3 linked regions of the Sus scrofa genome follow. The protein of the gene in region 3 purifies or fractionates together with the protein of the main gene of each other region. This does not show direct contact. Links are inferred from orthologs where the notes say so. Each region holds a gene or a part of one and is shown on either strand. Other genes may lie near its edges. The genes, in order: SLC12A6, SLC12A7 and LGALS3.

Region 1 (6,738 bases), on a different chromosome or scaffold from region 3:
TTAATCCACTGAGTGAGGCCAGGGAACAAACTCATATTTTCATGGATACTAGTCAAGTCCGTTATTGCTGAGTCACCATAGGAACTCCAGAAGTTTTGATACCAAAGAAAAAAATACATTCAAATCTATATATTTTCTACACTGTAAACCACAATTAAATCATTACTCACCAGAAAAATTTCAATGGCACCAAGGATGTACATGGCTGCTGCAAACGTGGTACCAAGATAAAAGCAGAGGCCAACAGCCCCACCAAACTCTGGGCCCAGTGCTCGGGATATCATAAAGTATGAGCCCCCAGCTAAAAGACACAACAGAAGAACAGGATAAAAAAAGTATGTTAGTATTAGGAAAGTCAGCAAGTCATAAAGAAGGAAGATAACTGATTCAGACTTTTGAAAACCCTAAATGTGATAAAAAGCAGATTTCCTAGTAGGAAGTAAAAGATGAAACCTTTAAACGACACATCTAATATGCTCCATATAAAGCAGCACAATTTGTCAGTATTACTTAAAAAATAGCAGAGGATTATTACACGCATGAGACAGCAGAATAAAACATATATTCTAATGAAAAGAAGCTAAGAATGCAACAGAAATAAGGGATTTTTAATCTTAAAACATAAAGAGATTTCTTTAAAGAAGGTATTCTAAAGTCAAGTAGTGTTAGTGCCTATGGCCAACATACTAATTAGTATTCTGTTCCTTGGAAGTTTACGCCTCATTACAGCATAAATATACAATCTCTGAAATCCAGTCTTAGCTACTGACCTGGCACCACTCCATTAGTGGCAATGGCACTCATGGAGATAGCAGTCAACATTGTCTGTAAAGAAAGGGAAAGGAGAAGACCGTTACTGTATAAAGATGGTATTTCTATACTACTTTCCCATTTGCAGACCTCAGAGCACTGATCGAACATCTAATTCTATCTACTTTTACGGAAGCGGTTGCCTGTCATACCGAATTTCATGGAAATGAGATGATGTGCTTTGACGCACTGATGTGCTTCAATCATACTACTAGTATCGGGAGAATTCTGCTAAAATACTCCTATATTGTAATCAGTAGGTTAGGTGCTATTAAGAACCACTCATCTAGTCCCGGTCTCCTAAATTGAAAACTCAGAAAACAGATTAGAAACTGACTAAAGACTGGCTACAATAACAAGAACAACATTCAGTAAGAAGGGAAACCACTAAAGACTGCCCAGCTCATAAGAACTGTATTTTAAAACATTACCTGGTAGTAGCAGAGTACAGAATGGACTGCAGATAGGGAGTAGATGGAGGCAGAGTGACTTGTTAGTAGGCTATTGTTGTAGTTCAGAGAGAGGGAAGGACTGCAGTGGCAGAAGTAGGAGTATAAAGAAAGGGTTGAACGAAAGAGATTTCAGAGGGAGATTTGATTTGATTGGTCTTGATAGCTCATGAGATGTGAGAGGCAATCAAGGAACCAAATAGGGCCCTGAAGTTTCAAGACTAAGAAACTGAAAAAAAAATGGTGGTATCATTAAGTTACTAACAACATGGACTATGTCTCCTTACCCTGCTTTGCACAATACTCAGCTGAGCACAATGCACAGGGAGTGTATGATGGTGATAGTAATAAAAGGTCAGTAGACAGCTGAATAATGAAATTAAAAAATTTATAATAATCAACTTACAATAAAATTGAGAGATGTGGCTGGGATACACAGATAAGAGAAGTTTAAATTAAAGGAAGTTCAGAATGTTCTCAGTGTAGTGAAGAGAAGATCTGGAAACAATACCCAAATTTCTGGGGAAAGGACAATGGATGAGACTTCAAAACAAAACAAATACCTCTCATTTCCAAACAACAATCAGTTTTGTTAATCTTCACTATACTGGAGTAAGCATATCATGTTTTCTAACACATTTTCTGTCACAACATTGGTATTATCAAGCTCAAATAGTTTGTATCTGAATTTTTGGAAGTCAGAACCTGTATCTTCTCCTTCTTATAGAAGTCCTTCTTTGTAATTTCAAGTATATCATATTATAAACAGTAAATAACTGACACTAAGTAATTGAAGATCCTTTAGATTTTAATATCAAAATAATCTCTCCTGTTGAGATGGCAAGTCCTTCCCCAGTATGTATTCTTTGTTTTATTCTCAAAGAGGCCAAGCATGATACTCGAGCTTGAGCAGTGTTCCAGGTGATCTCCAGGAGCCAACTTGGGACTTACACAGCAGCAGCAGATAAGGACAATTGCAAAGGCCTGCAGAACTCCAGCTGTGCCCACCACCCATGTAAGGCGTAGAAACAGGATCACTCCAAAAATATTCTGTAGACATGGGAGGTAGACACCCATGAAGGTACCCATTTGGGGGGTCTAGAAAGAAAGATGTTGATGAAAGAAAAAATCATATAGTCATCATCTAGAAGTGATGCTTTTATCCCTTTATTTTTATATAAAAACTTGCACCCTAACTATGAACTGCATATGAATTGCAAAGTAGAGATAAATTTAAGCACTATCTTTAAACAGGCACATATAAAATCTCCATCTTAACAAATTTCTATCACTATACCCTTTATTATTCCTAGAGACACACATTTTTTTTTTTTTTTTGTCTTTTTGCTATTTCTTGGGCCGCTCCCGAGGCATATGGAGGTTCCAAGGCTAGGGGTCGAATCAAAGCTGTAGCCACTGGCCTACGCCAGAGCCACAGCAATGTGGGATCCGAGCCGTGTCTGCAACCTACACCACAGCTCACGGCAACGCCAGATCGTTAACCCACTGAGCATGGGCAGGGACCGAACCAGCAACCTCATGGTTCCTAGTCAGATTCATTAACCCCTGCGCCACGACGGGAACTCCAGACACACATTTTTATTTTACATAAGTCTCCACATATTTTTACACAGACATTTGATCACAAACTTTTTTTTTTTCTTTTTTTTGGCTGCCCCACTGCATATGGAGTTCCCAGGCCAGGGATCAGATCCAAACTGCAGCTGCAGCAATGCTGGATCCTTGATCCACTGTGCCAGTCCAGGGATCAAGCCTGTGTCCCGGGACTCCCAAGACGCCACTGATCCAACTGTGCCACAAACAAACTTTTAAGTGCATCTTCAATAATTTAAAATTTTTTCTCTTCAAAGCCAATGGCTCTTTCTGTTCTTTTTTTTAAATGGAATAATGACTTGATGGAATTCTGTTAGAATTTGGCATAAATCTTTCATAGCAGGTGGTAAATGTAATTGATAAAAAATGAAGATCTGAGTGTCACTTTACTCCTGAACAACCAGAAAACTAACTTGTAATACTATCCCATATTTTCATGTTGAGAGAAACTGGTATTTGGTCTTAAAAAGCCCAACAACTTCACCATAGAGACATGGCGTCAGTGGATGGATATGGCCAATTTTCTTTTCTCATTTTTTTGTCTGTACCCATAGTATGTGGAAGTCCGTGGGCCAGGGACCAAACCCGTACCACAGCAGTAACAACACTGGATCCTTAACCCACTGCACCAGGAGGCAATGCTGGGTGAGATACTTTTCTTCTGGTGTGATATTCCATCTCCCTGGAACACTGCCCCCCAACTGTTTTACATGGCTCACTACCTCTCGGGCCTGGCACATATCAAGCATTCTTGCACATAGAGTGATGGCCTGGATATCTCCTTTATTATAATATTGGGCTCCTTTTATTTATCTTTGTTATTCTAAGGCCTCACCTTGGTGGCCTTCTTTTTCCCTTCAGTGATGTTCTCTGCCTCTTCATGTTCTTTTGCTCCTTGTGTCAGGTTAGTATAATTGGCCAACCGGTTGAGGAGAGAAGACACTTTTGGCCTGGTGTCCATTTCTTCCTATAAAGCCAGAAATACGAATGAAATACATGATGAAGACACTGTACATAAGCATAAAAATGATCCCTCTACCAGAAAGTTACAAAGTAAATGAGAAAAATTTCATAGGTAAACATTTTAAGAAAATTTATTGATGAGACTGTTTGCCCCACATATTATAATACATAATCAGGGCTACACAAATACTTATGAAACACTTTTTTTTTTTTGGACTACATCCATGGCATATGGAAGTTCCCAGGCCAAGGACTGAAGCCGAGCCACAGCTGCCACCTACCCTGCAGCTCAGGTAACACTGGCCCCTTTAACCCACTGTCCCTGGCCAGGTATCAGACCCATGCCTCCTTGGTGACTTGAGCTGCTGCAGTCAGATCCTTAACCCAATGCACCACAGCAGGAACTCCCTTATAAAATTCTCAAATGAAAAGCTTTATTATTCCTAATAGCTTAACTTTACCATAAAAGCAAAACTACATGGGCTCCTACAGATAGTTGTAGTCCTTATAAAGAACACCGATAACATAATCTTTAAGCACAGTGATACTAACAGTCTACTAATATTTATAGCAATTATTCATGGTACCAAGCATGCACAGATCAAAAGAAAACTTGTGATTGAATCAAATATTCACCTCAGACCTTTTCTTGAAGGCAGATAAAATAACATTTAAAAAATAGGTACACTGAGAAAAGTGGCACTTGAGTCATTGTCCAAAGTAAGACAAAGGCAGTGCTGAACTAAACTAGGCTCCTTTCAACCTGGCCACAGAATATCAGAGTTCATGCTGTCTTAGTCAGATAAGGCATTAGCAAGTCCTCTGAATCCAGCAGCCTGGAGTTCCCATCATGGCTTGGCACTTAATGAACCCGACTACTATCCATGAGAATGTGGGTCTGATCCCTGGCCTTGCTCAGTGGATTAAGAACCCGGTGTTGCTGTGAGCTGCAGCAGACGTGGCTTGGATCCCGCATTGCTGTGGCTATGATGTAGGCCAGTGGCCACAGCTCCAACTGGACCCCTAGCCTGAGAACCTCCATATGCCTCAGGTTCGGCCCTAAAAAGACCAAGGAAAAAAAAAAAAAAATCCAGCAGCCTGCTTCCTACTCTGACTTTGGGTTAGTAAGATAAATGACAGTCATCCCAAACACAGAGTTGAAAAATGCTTTATACTTAGTAGATTTTTCCAATATAAACATTTAAATCCTAGCTGAGTTAGATAACAAAGTTCTCCATATGCCTGTGATGTCAACATTTCTCCTCTTTACTCCATGGAAATTTGATTAAATGATTATCTATTAATCAACAATAATTATATAGATTAAATCAACTACAATGACAAGCTATAATAAGCACTATACTTTAACAGCTAGTTATTAAGGAATCCAACCTACAATGTTTTAAAACTAAATGGGGTGGGAAAACAGCAATCTTGAAATCTCTGTTCTTAAAATCTATGCCCTGTTCCTCCCAAATATTACCTCAAAGAGTGCCAAATTTTTATCAAAATATTCATCTCCTTCTTCATAATTGGAATTGTTAAGATAAGCATTTCGAGCTTTCTTATGCCCATCATCTGGAAAATAAAAGTAAACCAAGTTAGTTTCTCACTAGTATTGAAGAAGCATCAGCACCAAATAATTCCATATCAGCTCTGTAAAAACAGAACCCATTTTTACATTCAAATTTTCATCTCAGAATGGGAGAACTCAACCAGCACTGTTTGGAGAATGTGATTCTTGAACAGGAGCAAAAGCAAATCTCTAAGAAGTAAATATGGCTCATTCCTTTTCTTAACAACATGAAGACCTCTGGAAACACTATTCTTTTAGGAGTCTAGCCTATGGGGACCCTACTATTAACAGAGCCCAAATCTAGGATGGAAAAAAAAAATAGAACAATCATTGAGTACTTCCTCAGGGTATCAAGGATACTTTACACACTGCTACTGTTGATAACAGCAGTAAAAGCCCTCTGCCTTCACGGCTGTCTGTCCTTTTATAAATGACATTAGGTCACTTACCCTAGTATTATTTTTGTACTAACAGTTGCCACATTATCTGTTTACGGTTTTTTTTTTTTTTTTTTTTTTTTTTTTTTTTTTTTTTGACTGTGCCTGAGACACTGGGAAGTTCCTGGGCCAGGAATGGAACAGGCCCCACAGCAGTGACAACACTGGATCCTTAACCTGATGAGCCACCAGGGTGTTCTTTTATCCTAAAAGAGGAACCCTGCAAGAATTTGGTGAACTAGCTATAAGGAAAAAGAAAAAAAGATTAGGTCTTAGTAGTTTATGTTGACTGCTTACTTAACTTTCATTCTTTATTGTATAAAAGTTACATAGTTATCATAGTCTGGTAGGAGAGAGAGAGAAAAAAAATTGTGTAAATGTCATTAAGTACTAAGATTTTAGATACTGAGAAAATGGATACCAATATAAAAATCTAAAGTCCTATAACCTTAAATATATAAGATGAACTTGGAAAATAGGCAAGAAGTTATCAAGGAAACTGAGTCATGTCAAAGGACAGAAGAGCCAATCTGAAGGGGTTCCTGTTGACTAAAAATGGGACAATATGAGGAGTTTCTGTCGTGGTTCAGCAGAAATAAATCTGACTAGTATTCTTGAGGACACAGGTTCGATCCGTGGCCTTGCTCAGTGGGTTGGGGATCCAGTGTTGCCATGAGCTGTGGTGTGGGTCACAGATGAGGTTTGGATGTGGCATTGCTGTGACTGTGGCATAGGCCAGCACCTACAGTTTTGATTCAATCCCTAGCCTGGGAACCTTCCTATGCCCCAGGTGTGGCCCTAAAAAAAAAAAAGAAAAAAAAAGACAAAATAGAAGGGATAATATGAACACTATAAATAAATAATGCAGTGAACTGAAACGCATGTACTT
Region 2 (6,738 bases), on a different chromosome or scaffold from region 3:
CAGATCCACGTTCTTGGCCACCAGCAGGGCCTGATGCGCCGCCGTGGTGTCGCGCACGGTGTCTGCAGAGGGGCAGGCGGGCCAGGGGTCACAGACCCTGCACGACTGGGCACCTGGACTCAGGGCCCCCGCCAGGGACTGGGGTGGGCGGGCCTGGGGTCCACACAGAGCCCCACATGGGGTGCAGCCGCCCCCATCGCTCCGCGGCCCGGCTGGCGCCCCTGGGAGTCGCCAGAGAAGGGCAGGGCCAAGGGAAATGGCCCCGTCTCAAGGCTCCTGAACGTCGGCTGGCTCTTCGAGAAGCAGCGCAGCCAGGGCCCCCAGCGGCCCCCAGGGATCAGCTCTTGGCCCGGGGCCCTGAGACCCAGCCTGGGACCCCAACACCCAGCCCAGGGCCCCGACACCCCAATCGAGGCCCGGACTCCCAGCCCGGGGCCCTGAGACTCACCAACAAAGTTCTTCCAGGAGAAGGGGTTGTCCCCCTGCTTCCAGGCTGCGGGCCAGGCCATGAGCACCGTGTTGTGCCGCATGGCCCCCAGGCCGGCCGACTGGATCAGGTGGGACACGCCGTCGCGCAGGCTGGGGGACACCACCAGCTGGCAGAAGCCCTTGGTCTTCTCGGCCGCCATCAGGGCCCGGATGTTCTGCGGACGCAGGGGCGCAGGATCAGGGGTCAGGGTAACCCCAACCCTCGGTCCCGGGGTCCAGACTAGGGCCGCCTGCGTGTGCACGTGAGTACACGCATGCGCACGCGAGCACACGTGTGTGTGCTCCCTGCCCTCGGGAAGGTGGGGCAGTCACGCGGCAGGCACTCTCGGACCTGCGAGGTCACGGACCCCCCCACCCTTCCACGCGGACCCCGGGTCCATTACTCCTGGTCTGCGGACCCCCGGCCAGCACGCATCCACCCAACAGCGCTCCCGACCAGGACCGAGGGGCCTGGAGGTTCAGGAGCGACAGGCCGGGCGTGTGCAGCTCTGCCCCTCGGCCACGCGCCAGGCATCCGACCCAGGGCAGCTGGACGTCACGGGGAGGCCGGGCACACAGTGACGACAGCGGGCCTTTCGCTAAGGACCTGTGCCTGCTGGTCCCCTCCCGGCCACACTGACCGGCCCCTGGGGCCTGACTCGGGGCCCCCCCGATGCAGCTGTGAACCACAGGGAAGGGCTGACACAGGCGGAACAGCCCTGCTGGAGCCCACGTGGCCGCCTCCTCCGGCCTGCGCCTCCCGGGCTGGGACGGCCTGGCGCAGGTCCCACAGGGCCCTTTGCCTCCACGTCACATGGGAGGTGGATGCCCCTCGGGATGTCCCAGCACCTGAGCCAGGTGGGCAGAAGACGAGATCTGGGGCTTGGCGGACAGTGTGAGGGGCTGGGACCCGGGGGACACCGAGACAAGACACATGCTTTTACGTGGAAGACGCAGGGGCAGCTTGGGGCCCAGAGGACAGACCACAGTGGGCTGACCTTGGCCCTGAAAGATATGCCCGCGTCCTAATCCAGAACCTGGGAGCATGGCCTCCAGGAGAGATCTTGAGTGAGTTAGGCGTCTTGACACAAAACCATCCTGGATTGCCCAGGCGGCCCCAGGTCCCATGGCAGTGTCCTCAAAGGGACAGACGAGACACAGACACTGAGAAAAAGCCACGAGAAGACAGAGGCAGAGATGAGAGGGAGGGGCCATGAGCTCAGGGCCGCCTGGAGCCCCAGCAGCTGGAAAAGGCAGTTGAAACCTGCTCTGAGCTCGGGACAGGGCGGCCCTGGGCCCCTCCATGTTGGATCTGGCCCCAGAGCTGGGACAAAAGGGATGGGTATTTGTTCCGGCCGTCCCAGGACCTCGTGGCAAGGGCTGGAGCCACGTCCCCTCAACCACCCGGCCTGAGCTGCCACCACATCGAAGGGCGAGGCGGCTGGAGAAGGAAGAGTCCAGACCCATCCTCGGACGTGACACGGGGTGGCCTCAGTGCGGTCGAAATGCAGTTCAGGGCTCGCGGGGCCCACGCTGCCCAGAGGCCAGAGCACAGGGGCTCAGCCGGGTCAGGAGGTGGCCACTCCGGGGGCTTTAAATGCCACATGTCCCCACTTTGAGACCACAGCTCTCAGGTCACTGGCTTAGGAAAGGCTGACCCGATGCAACAGCTTCAAGGAGCCACCATGGGTTTGGGGTCCTCCAGTCACGCTGATGGAAAACCCACCTCACCGCCCTGTGGGGTTTCGGGGGCCGCCTCAACCTCTGCAGCCCCTGCTCCATGCCCGGCCCTGGGTCCCCAAGACAAGGCCCTGCGGAACCTGGGGTCAGCGTGAGGGGCTTCTCTGACCCCAGCAGATGGGCCTCAGCCCCGCCCCAGGAAGCAGGCGCGTGGCCCTGCCTGCACCCTGGCTGACCCTCTCGGCCGCCCTCCTTCCACCAGATCGAGAGCCGCGATCCCGGTGGGAAGCAGCAGGGCCTCCCCTCAGGAGGCCCCCGCCTCAGTCACTAACCAAAGTCGAAGCAGGTGGGAGCCAGGTGGGTGCCTCCTGCAAGTGAGATGCTGTGCGTGCACCTGACCGTGACACCCCGGGGGTCCTCCCCTTTGGAAACCCCAGCGAGTGCCTCCACCCAGCCCTTGCCCTTGGTGACACACACGGCCCCGAGCCTCACCCCTGCTGAGCCCCTGGGGTGGAGCCCGGCCGTGCCCCCTCCACGAGGCTTCCCCCTCTTCCGCGGCGGCCACGGGACCCGGCCCTCCCGTTAGAGACACACAGCGGGCCTGAGCCCCCCATGCCCACGGGCCACGCGGACCTGAGTTTACATACACTGCCAGGCAGGCAAGAGCTGACCTTGGCCAGACCCTCGGAGGCCAGGCCCCAAGGGAGCTCCAGCCCTGAGAACTTGTCCTAAAAGCAGCCTCTCGTGGACAAGGCAGGTCTGCAGTCACTTACACCACCACGCTCCTGACCTGACAGTGATGGAACCCCCGCCGTTTCAGGAACCACAATTTCGTGGAACAAACCTCAGAGCACCCGGCAACAAACACCACACAGCCGTAGGAAACGAATCAGGCACCCAGCCAACCGGAAGACACGGCTTGGAAGCACGTGAGTGTGTGAGCCGAATGTGTTCTGCAGGATTGTTTGTGCAAAACGGCAACAGGAAAATACCCAGAAGAACACATCAGATGACAACACTCGCGTCTGGAAAAGGCTGTGAATTGAGCCACGTCAGTGCCCTTTTGCACAAGCTCGGAGCCCCCGATGCACACTCGGAGCTGGTGGCCGGGTGCCTGTCTGCCCCCCGCCGGCTCTGCCTCCCGGTTCCCTGGAAATGCTGGGGGACAAAAGGAGCCACAAGTGTGTCGCCCCCGGGGGCCAGAGGCCACAGTCAGACATGAGAACCAGGCCCCTCCCGCCCTTGGAAACGGGTCAAAGCAGGAAACGCACAAGGTGAGCCTGAGCTTCGCCACGCACGCAAGGAGCCACCGAGAGGCCTAGGGCACCAGCTAAGAGGCTGCCCGCCAGCACATCGCGAGGGCAACATGCCACGTCTACAGCCAGGCTCACAGCCACAACCCCAGTGTGCACACCCAGGCCCAGGCGAGCAGTGGCCACGTTAAACCCCCGGGTCAGAGAACGGCCAGCGCCTCTGGAGAGACAAGGAAAGGATGCAACGGGCGCCCTGAACCAGCCACCCAGGCCCCGCGGGGCCGGCGGGCCAGCTGACCGGAGGGGGTGTTGATGCACCGGGTTTTGCCGGCCACAACCCCCTGGAGCAGCCGTGCCCACCCGGGAAGGCCTGGCTGTGATGCAGTCCGGCTCACAGCCCCACAGACAGCAGGGGTGCCCCGGACGCCTGGATGCAGGATGCAGGCGAGGGGCCCACCCAGAGCGACACCCAGAGACGCGGCCCGGCTGACACGGAGCTGGGCTGGAGGCAAGCGGGGGTCTGGACGCGGCCTGGGGACTGGGCGACAGTGGGGATGCCGTTCGGATGCCGTTGCAGAGACAGACTCGGCGTTTGGGATGAAAAGATGTTGTGCGGCGGGTCTGTGCCAGGACCCAGGGCGGGAGGCGCCGGCACATGCGCCCCGCTCACCCTCTGTCCTCCGCTGCCGAAGCAAACGAGCAGGGACTGGCCCCCCGCGGCCACTCTCGATGCCCGACGGCGTCCCCGAGGGTCACGGGCGCCCGGGCCTCGCACGGCAGACGTTCCCAGCAGGTTTCCATCCTGCTCGTTCGAACCCCCACACGCTGGCGCCCAGCCCCACCTCCTCGGCCTGCTGGGCCTCTGCGTGTTGGTCCAGGAAGGTCCCCTCCAGCACGGAGCCCACGATGGTCAGGCCCTTGCCGGCCTTGAGCTGCGAGGTGAGCGACAGCAGGCGGGGGTGCTTCGCGCGCCACTCGGCGTCCAGGTTCAGCAACACCAGCACCTGCGGCCTGGGTGGGGAGCAGCGGTTACCATGACGACGGGACACTGCACTCGGCAGGCGCGCCCCCCCACCTCTGCCCGGGGGATGGAGGGCAAGGGGCCTCCAGCACGGGGCAGCTCAGAGGGGCAGCTCCCCACCCCCTCCCAGACCCGAGAAGCCTGGCAGGTGTCCTCTGTCCACAGCAGGTCCCCAAAGATGACCTCACCCCAATCCCCCACCTCCACCCTCGCAATGTCTCCTCAACCAACGATCAGATCGAGCTGATCACGCGCGGGGAGGGCGGTGATGGGGGGGGAAGCACCATGAACAAGGCCATGGCAGCTTCCTTGACAACCTAACTGGGGGTGAGCTTCTTGCCACCAAGCCTGGGGACGGACACGCCCGTGGGCTCAAAGGGCGTGAGGGTGGGCACTCACCTCCAGTTCTTGGTGTGGGGGGTGCCATGCTCCACGCGCAGCAGGGCGTAGTGGGCGGCGTTCAGCGACAGCCCCCGGATGCCGTCGCCCCACTCCTTCTCGGCCCTGGGTGGGTAGGGGCAGCCGTGAGCCCTCCCCGCAGCACATCCAGCTGGTACCCGGGCAGCCCCGGGGAGGCCCTTGGGGTCTCTCAGCACTTCTGGGGCAGCGCAGGGGGCTTCCGAGGCCGACCAGGGACAGGAAGGAGCAGGACGTGGGGAGGGGCACTGGGTGGGGGTGGCGCGGGCACCGTGAGGGGCCTCAGAGCCAAGGCCATGGACAGACAAAGGGAGGGGACTCCGGTGGCAGGCGGTGGCTGGGCACCAGCAGGAGCAGCACAGTCCCCAGACCCTGGATGGCCACCTGGAAGAGCTGGGAGGGGACCTGAGGCAGTGCCCCCAGGGCCCCCGCCGCCCCGAGGGGCCAGGGCCTCGGGGGACACGCCCCTCGTGGTGGACCAGGGGCTCTGGGCTGCAGCCAACCTGCCCACAACTGCGGTTTGGTGCGGTGTACTTCCTGGGAATTTTGAAACCCACCACGCAGCAGTGCGTCACCAGCTGGATTTCAAAGCCCCAAAGCACAGTCCTTCACACTTTGACACGGCTAAACCTGCGGGTACGTCGAGACGAACGCGGGACAGTCGTGCGGCCCCTTAACCGCAGCAAACGCGCTCTCCTTGCACTAGACTCACAGGCAGGAACCCTGAACGGCCGGCAGGGGAGGCGGGCTTCGCCGGCTCGGTCACCAGAGGGCCCCGTGCACCTGCCCCGGGGAGGCCCCCAGCGCCGGGCTGTGGGGACCCCGGCGTCGCGGCTCACCCGCGGTACTCGATGTACTTGTAGATGCAGCCGGCCACGAGCATGGCGAAGAGGGCGTAGTACCAGGAGCACACGAACATCAGGGCGAAGCACAGGCTCATGCCCAAGAAGGAGAGGGTCCTGGGGACACAGAGCTCGTGGGGCCATGCCTCCCCGCCAGCCCCAAGCTGGCGTCCGAGCAGGGGCCCTGAAACGTCCCGTCCCTCCGCAGGAACCCTCTGTTCGTACAGGAACACAGCCAGGTGCTCCTCCGCTCCTCCCCTGGCACCACCCCAAAGGCGGACGCCACCCCGCTGGGCACCAACAACGGGCTTCACGCATCCGCCAGGGCGCCAGGCACACTGGGCACACGGAGACCCGGCGCCCTCACCAACCCACTGGGCTCCTTCCACAGGGGACGACCGGGGACCCAGGCGGCAGCTGGCCTGGCGGGGACCGGGCTCACCAGTGGTAATACTTGAAGCGAGGGCGCCAGTTGGGCGTGCGCAGCAGGGTCTGCAGAGCACAGGCCAGGTTCACGAACATGTAGCACATGAGGAAAAACCTGGGGACGCCAGCTCAGCATGAGGGGCTGAGCCCGGTCCCAAGGGGGCGCCCACGCTGCCCCCACGCCCGGGAGCCCCATCCCTCTTCCCTACGCAGCCGTCCCACCACCCCGCCCCGCTCCGCACGCGCAGGCACGAGCGCCTGGCGCTCTGCTGTCCCCTGAGCAGGAGGCGAGCCCAGGAGCAGAGGCCTCCGGCGGCCGACAAGCGGGCAGGACCCTCACATGGAGAGGATGGGGGCCACGCTGTCCAGGGAGGCGATGAGGATGCCGGTCTCGCAGATGAGGGCCGTGAGCAGCAGGGCCCAGGTGGGCTCCCCGTTGGCCTTCCCGTGGCCGAACACCTGCAGGAAGAGGGGCAGGCGGGCCAGTGGCCTCGGGGCAGAGGCCGGGCGAAAGCTCGTGAAGACGGCTGCTCAACTCAAGAGGGCCTCCGAGACGCGACAGAGGCAGAGGCGGACTCGCCACCGCGCGTCCTGGATGGACCTCGTCCGGGAAGCAAAGCGACCCCCAGGG
Region 3 (7,326 bases):
GGAGAAAAACAAGATTTAGTGAGGAAAACTTTGTCTTCTTGGTGGGAACGTGTATTGATTTATGGGAAAATTCCAAACTGTGGTATAGCCAAGATTCTAAATGTGTAATTTTAAAAATTCTATTAAAATTCAAAACAGATCACCCTTTATTCCCAAAGTAATCAACAAATGTGTTAGACTTGCTAGTTTTGCTCTTTACCTGTTTGCATTGGGCTTTACTGTGCCCAGAATTGTTATCAGCATGCGAGGCATGACTCCTCCAGGCAAAGGCAGGTCATATGGCACATTCTGCAAATAAAACATATAGGTATATATATATATATGTATACACACACACACACACACACACACACACATAAAGGAGTCATATTTTCTTGAGGAAAGAAAGAAAAAGATGTTGCTAAAGTTTAACCACTATTAATATGTGTGAATAACATATAACCCTGCTGAAAGCCGTCTTTTCAGACTCTTAGGCCAGCTTGCCCAGGGCCTGAAGAGAAGATTCCCTACACAACTACAACTAATAATTGAGAATAAGGTCATCCATTAATTGCTACCAAAGGCAGACCATGTCCCCTTTGGGAGCACTGGATCTCTCATGATGAGGGCCATTACAATATAAAACTCATGCATTAGCTTACTTTATGAGAAGGCTTAAGTTAGGCCTTGCAATCAACATTTTTGTGCCACTCTTAAGATCCTTTTCATCCAACATGATTCACTGTGGTTATTCTGCCTCCTGAAGGCAGACACTGTGGCATCTTCTGGGCTTCTGAGGTCTCCTATGGTCCACTCACACAGGCCCAGTGGAATGCTTTGAATGTGGCAGGTACTCAACATTTGTGGAATGGTCACTTCCCAGTTAACACATGCTCCAGTTCATTCTGCAAATATCTATTGACCATCTATGTTCAAGGTGCTGTAAGTATTCCCAATGCTCTGCCTTTGGCCTCTTCTCTTTTTCCTTAATAATTACTTCCCCCCAAGCAACCGTCATCCAACTCTCTTTTCTCTCTAGACGTGATCTGTACAAGACCTGTGCTTCCTCCTTGTCTGGCTTTGCTACTGGTGCTGCAAATCCAACCAGTATGAACTGGAATTTTCTCCCCTGCTCCTCCCCAATCTGGTCCCCTTCCCGAGTTCCTGGTTTGGGCTGACCTTTGGCTGGTGCTCTCCTTGCCCAACCTTAAAAAGCCAGAGTTGTCTCTGACTCCTAAAACTTAACCATGAGATCCCGGGGTTCTTCTGCTGCAATCTCTCCCCATCCACCTCTTCCTAAGACTTAACCACTAGATCCTGGGGTTTTTTTCTCTGCAATCTCTCCCCATCCACCTCTTCCTTTCCACAGCCTCCCTTGTCCCCTTGCCTCAGCTGACTACATGTCTTTGGTCCAAGCTCTGCTCAAAGTCTCCCATGCCCCCAGCGCTCTCTCTTCTCTCCTCTAAGCTGACCTACAAGCAGATCAAATGCTTCCTGTGCCATCATAGTGGGATCACATCCTGAAAGGGGCTGATCCCACTCTACTATTGAACTATTTCCTCATATTAGTACATTTTCTCCCAACTAGACTATCTAGAAGGGAAGGATCTGTGTCTGAGATGTGTCTGGGATCCCACAGAGTTATATTTTTATGCTTACAATTGATTTATTAAAATGGGTTTTACTATAAAATGAAAATTCAACCCTTAGATCACAAAATTCTCTTTAGAAGGTTTTTAAAAATGAGATTACCATGGGTCCTTCAAAGGGTCCCTCTAAGGCCATGGAAATGTGGTTTAACTCTTTATTGTACCATTTCTTCATTTTGTAAAGTGGTTTTAACAATAGTATTTTATGGGGAGCTTATGGGATTGAATGAGATCATCCATGAAGAGGTACACAGCTGGCACGTTACGTACCCAGTGTTTATTAACAATAGTAACAACCCACACCTCCCCCATTTCTATGACCTTAACTTGATTTATATTAAAGCTGCTTTACAGATGCCTTCAAAAGATACATTAGCTCCTCTTTGTACTAACAGTCCACATGCTTAAACTCAACAGGAACAACAGTCTTTTCTACTGGACCAACATACACTGTGGCTGGTGGTTGCACAGCGGTTCTAGGCAGTGAGATGAAAGCTTCAAGTCTCCCTGAAGCCCTTTGCAGGTCAGGGCCCAGGGAGCACTGCAAAGTGATGGCACCACCACCTCAGACAATTGCTACATTCTTCATTAGCTATGTCCCTATCACTATATCCAGGTGTGTGAAATGACCAATTCCTCTTACCAGTGGTCCAGAAGGGGCACCATAGGGGCCAGTGGCAGGGTAGGCTCCAGGAGCACTTGGCTGTGCAGGAGGCGGGTAGGCGCCAGGCCCACCTGGTTGCCCAGGGTAGGCTCCTGGTGCGGCTGGGCCAGGATAACCAGGTGCTGTTGGGCCAGGGTAGGCCCCTGGAGGTGCCTGTCCAGGGTAGGCGCCAGGAGGTGCCTGTCCAGGGTAGGCACCAGGAGGCCCCTGCCCAGGGTAGGTGCCAGGATAGGAAGCCCCTGGATAGCCTCCTGGCCCAGCAGGCTGGTTTCCCCATGCACCAGGCCATCCTTGAGGGTTTGGTTTTCCAGACCCGGATAAAGCATCGTTAAGCTGGAAAGAAAGACATAAACCATTACAGGATGAAAAACACAAAAACAGAATTTTCAGGTAAATAGGAATATGTAATCTAAGAATTAGAAGGATAGGGTGAAGCTATGAACTTCCTATGAATAAAATTTCCCCACCTATTCACTGAGTTCCTAAGACTAAAATTAGACTTTGGGATTATACCTGCTTTATCACTTTATTCTTGCCTCCCATCATCTCAGATCATTAGGGTTGCCTTTTCCTAAGTTGCTGAAGTTGGGAGCTAGCCATCCTCTATGTAAAAGCACATATGTTCTCACTGACATGAGGAAAATAATCACAAAATCAGGATGCTCTTGGGCTGCAAGAGCTCCACCCAGCTGGCCCTGGTTGCCTTGACCTTCCCATTGCTGGGTGTCTGCTGCACGACTCCAGCTAATGAGTGGCATCCAGGATAGAACTGGAGAAGCTGCCTTGTGCACAGGGAGGGGCCTGGGAAATAGAGTCATAAGATTTGGTTTGAAATCCAGTGCCATCCATCAAGACCTCCGAAGGCTTGGAGACATCATGTTACCTGGATAGAACTTAAGTGTCTTTGTTTGTAAAATGGGAGTAATGATCTCTTTCACGAAATTACTGGGATGAACAAGTGAGGCAGCATCTGGGAGGACTCCGTATAGACTGCAAGGTGCTGGGCCAGTGTTCGTTGGTGTCCTTTCTCTCCAGGAAGAGACACTGCCTTCTCCCTTCCTGTCTCCTATGGTATTTAGCAGAGTAATGTGGTATTTACGTGATACTCAGTAAAGATTGCTGTGTTGATTGAGTATCATCCATTAGGATTGTCTGATCTTTTGTGTTCTGGGGTTTTTTTGTTTTCTTTTTTGGCCATGCCCATGGCATGCAGGAGTTCCCGGACCAAGGATTGAAACCACACCACAGCAGTGACAATGCCAGATCCTTAACCCACTGTGCCACCTAGGAACTCTGACAGTCTGAACCTTTGATGCATTAGGAATCCAAGCCCAGACCTGGTATTAGAACAACAAGCCGAGGCTGTAAAGGGAGCCCAGGGGCCTGGGGGAAGGGGAGAGAAAATCAGAGGGCTTGATGAGGAAACGTAAACTGGATTTAGGAAAATAGACTCATGGCTGTAGGTGGGGTGAGTCATTCTGTTAATTTGGGAATACTAATGGGAATTTATTTTGACTGCTTCTTAGTTCAGCATTTGGGAAGGGAGGAGGGGTAGAGGGCACCACAGTATTAAAGAAAAAAATCAGGATGCTGAGACAGCCCATTGCTCAGTGGATTTCTTAGCTCCTGCCAGCAGAATCCACCCGCTTCTGTCCTAGGCAGTTCAGTAAAGGGGTTACTGTTAGTGAGGCCCAGGCCTCTCTGCCTGGCTTTCTTCCTGAATTTGTTGCTGGAAAAACACAACTCCAGCTAACGAGTGGTGGGAGAGTTAGATGGAAACTCTGGTGACTAAAAAGAAAAAGAAAAACAAACAAAACAAAACCCTCAACCTGCATGAATGTCTACACATGAAGGTAGGAAAACAGACATAAGACACTTACCGAAAAACCGTCTGCCATTCTCCTAAAAGGAGAAGGAAAAAAAAAAAAAAAAGAGCCACAGGTTATCATTTGATCCTGAAAGATTTTTGGTTTCTGCCTGAATAACGTCACAAACAGCTCACTAAGCAGGACTAGTCCATCTACAGGGATTCTAACACAAGCCAGTCTAGTCCCCAAATACACCTAAGTCAGTAGTGGGGAGCCACAAAAATGTCTCATTTCATCGTGGGGCGGGGTCGTGCTCTGCCTGGATTGCCACACCCTATTTAACTCAGAACTAAACTCTAATCACAAGAGCCTGTGGCCTGAATCACGGGAGTAACAGCCATGCTCTGCTGCCGGTGGGAGGGAAGGAGTGAAAGTAAACAGTTTCCTAGGTAATACGTGTTTGTCCTGGTTGTCTTTGGTCCCCCTTCACCTTCCTTCCTGTGCTCTCTTTCCACCACCTCCTAAAAAGTGTTCAGTGCATTAATATCACCCACCGCCCACTCCCCTGGTGAACAAAAGCCAGGGTTCCCGTGCCCTCCCCTGGGATTTAGGAGGAAAGCAGTTGGTTGATTCCTATATTCCCCACTTTCCCCCCACAAGACGTAGTTGCTGCTGTTGGTTTAGTCCTTCATTTGCATACATTTATGTCTCTTGTGGGCTCCTAACTGGGTTTGAAGATGGAGGCAGTCAACATGTATGGTCCCTTCACAGGCCAGACGAGGTGAAAGTGATTGACCCTGTGGGCCAGACCACATGCCATGGGAAGTCACAACTGGAAAGATTACTTCCAACAGGGAAAGGACAGTGTTGTTTGAGCTAAGCCTTGAAGGAAAGGTGAGACTGTTATGTGGAGCAATAAAGAGGAAAGATGGGCACAAGTTGCTTTTTTTCTTTTTTAAAAAAATAGTTGTTATTTCAAATGAAATCTCTCACAGTAAAATGAATGAAATTAAAAAAAAAAAAAGGTCAGACGATGCAGAGGAAACCATTTTGGGTAGGATGTTACAAAAGAGGGTCAGCCTTGCCCAACGTTGCCCCAAAGGGTAGCAGCGCTGATCCTGTCCACTGTCCCCACCCTCATGCCAAGGTGCCAAGTCCCCAACCAAACAGGATGTTTTACACCTGCTCTCACTGCTGGTGTTCTAGTGATGAGGGCAGAAGGGCAGCTTTGGACTCCTCAGGCCTGAATGAGTTGTCTTGACTCAAGATCAGCTGGGTATGGCCAAAATTACCCGGATCTTAAAACTATCAGAATCTTTTTCCTTAAGTGGCTTACTTGCCATAGTTCTGTTATTTGAAGAAACGAACCAATAAATGGTGGCTACTTGATGGGTTCTTAGGTTCCTTGATCGGCTCCCAAGAGGACAGAAACAAACCCCTCCCACCCCCCAAATATGGCTGTTCACCTTGGAGATCTGCCATGGACACCACTCCCAGAATGTGGATGCCCAAGTTGGGCAGCAAGAAACAATGGCAGAAAACAACTGCCCGCATAGATTAACCACCTGTAAGGATTAACTGCCCTCTGTCATGGAACTCAACCCCTACCCCTCCCTTGACCTTCCCCTCCTTCTTCTTCATTGTTCCTGCCACAGGTTCCTGCCGTGAACTCCAGCCACAGATCCTTTATAAGCCTAGAACCTCAATACAGTCAGGGCTGGCACCATTTTGAGCTCAGTCTGTGCCCCTCTGATGCCTTAATAAACCTCTCTTGCTTTATCAACTAGGCCTTGCGTGTTCCTCCCTCAGCAAAACTAACAGTTCTAAAAATGTAAAATACTACATTTCTTGGTTAAAAAAACAAGCAAGCAGAGCTCCTAGAACTTCATGTGTGCTTCATTTAAACACCAGGTATTTTATTCTACTCTGCTGTTCTTTATAAGAGTTAGATATTACCCCACCCCTTTTTTCTTTATGCACATCTCCTTTTTAATCTGGGCATTCTCGAACATATTTAGAAACACTCAGGTCATCACCGTGCCCAGCTTCCAATGTGGAAATTTCTGGCAATTTGGGAAGTCATAGTAATACTCTTCCAGGGCTTACAATCACGGTATTTAGTATACAGTATTTGATTTTTTTAAAGCAGAAGTTGGGTGTTCTGTGTTTCCTTCTCCAAAAGGCTGCCACTGCTTACAAAATTGTGCTGCTACTATAGGAGGAATTTGAGTTGTTACAGAAAAGGAAAAGACATTTTTAATAGATTATTTTCTACTTATTATTATTATTATTATTAGTCTTTTAAGAGCCGCACCCACAGCATATAGAAGTTCCCAGGCTAGTGGTAAAATCGGAGCCATAGCAGTTGGCCTACACCACAGCAACGTGGGATCCAAGTCACATCTTCGACCTACACCACAGATCAAGGCAATGCTGGATCCCTGACCCTCTGAGCAAGGACAGGAATTGAACCCACATCCTCATGGATACTAGTCGGGTTTATTACTGCTGAGCCACAACGAAAACTCCAGAAAAGACATTTCTTAAGTCAAGAAAATCAAGCTTCTCATTTTGGATGCCAATAAAAAACGATCTTGAACTTTACAGTGGGCAGAAAGCTTAATTCCTTTGATTACACATTCTTTTTCCACTCCTGAGCAACACACCAAAGACTCAGCAATAACTTTATGTTTTCACTTCTTTAAAATATCCCCATTGTGTACAGGCTTATTCTCAAACTCAGTGCCACTGACATTTCACATGTGATACTTTGTAGTGAGAGGCTGTCCCCTGCATTGTCGTATGTTTGGCAGCATCCTTGGCTTCAACATACATGATGCCAGGAGCACTGACTCCAGTTGTGATAATACAGAATCTTTTTTGTCTTTTTAGGGCCGCACCTGCGGCATATGGAAGTTTCCAGGCTAGGGGTCGAATTGGAGCTACAGCTGCTGGCCTACACCACAGCTCATGGCAATAAGTGGGATCCTTAATCCACTGATCAAACCCACTGATCAGACCCAGGGATCAAACCCAAGTCCTCATGGATACTAGTCAGGTTTATTATTGCTGAGCCATGACAGGAACTCCCATCCAGAATGTTTTAAGACATTGCCAAATATCTCTGGAAAGGGCTGGAAGAGGGCAAAATTTTGCCTGTTTTGAGAATCACTGGTCTAGGCTAATTAGCATGTATCTCTCCATATAAATGTACACATGCAGGTAA

What was found.
Region 1: the proteins of LGALS3 (region 3) and SLC12A6 purify together in Homo sapiens (affinity purification with mass spectrometry; 3 studies listed by BioGRID and IntAct, counting the BioPlex papers as one, with this or other methods). This does not show direct contact. The link is inferred for Sus scrofa from reciprocal best matches to the Homo sapiens genes LGALS3 and SLC12A6.
Region 2: the proteins of LGALS3 (region 3) and SLC12A7 purify together in Homo sapiens (affinity purification with mass spectrometry; 3 studies listed by BioGRID and IntAct, counting the BioPlex papers as one, with this or other methods). This does not show direct contact. The link is inferred for Sus scrofa from reciprocal best matches to the Homo sapiens genes LGALS3 and SLC12A7.

The regions. Positions count from the first base shown.
Region 1 is NC_010449.5:80,236,244-80,242,981, reverse strand, and holds part of SLC12A6 (solute carrier family 12 member 6), read right to left. Parts: intron 5,415-6,738; coding exon 5,320-5,414; intron 3,841-5,319; coding exon 3,709-3,840; intron 2,358-3,708; coding exon 2,211-2,357; intron 826-2,210; coding exon 771-825; intron 302-770; coding exon 171-301; intron 1-170.
Region 2 is NC_010458.4:79,382,744-79,389,481, reverse strand, and holds part of SLC12A7 (solute carrier family 12 member 7), read right to left. Parts: intron 6,567-6,738; coding exon 6,448-6,566; intron 6,223-6,447; coding exon 6,124-6,222; intron 5,799-6,123; coding exon 5,679-5,798; intron 4,927-5,678; coding exon 4,822-4,926; intron 4,413-4,821; coding exon 4,244-4,412; intron 645-4,243; coding exon 449-644; intron 63-448; coding exon 1-62. UniProt on the Homo sapiens protein: Mediates electroneutral potassium-chloride cotransport when activated by cell swelling. May mediate K(+) uptake into Deiters' cells in the cochlea and contribute to K(+) recycling in the inner ear.
Region 3 is NC_010443.5:184,482,996-184,490,321, reverse strand, and holds the start of LGALS3 (galectin-3), read right to left. Parts: upstream 4,196-7,326; 5' UTR 4,191-4,195; coding exon 4,173-4,190; intron 2,626-4,172; coding exon 2,272-2,625; intron 289-2,271; coding exon 200-288; intron 1-199. UniProt on the Homo sapiens protein: Galactose-specific lectin which binds IgE. May mediate with the alpha-3, beta-1 integrin the stimulation by CSPG4 of endothelial cells migration.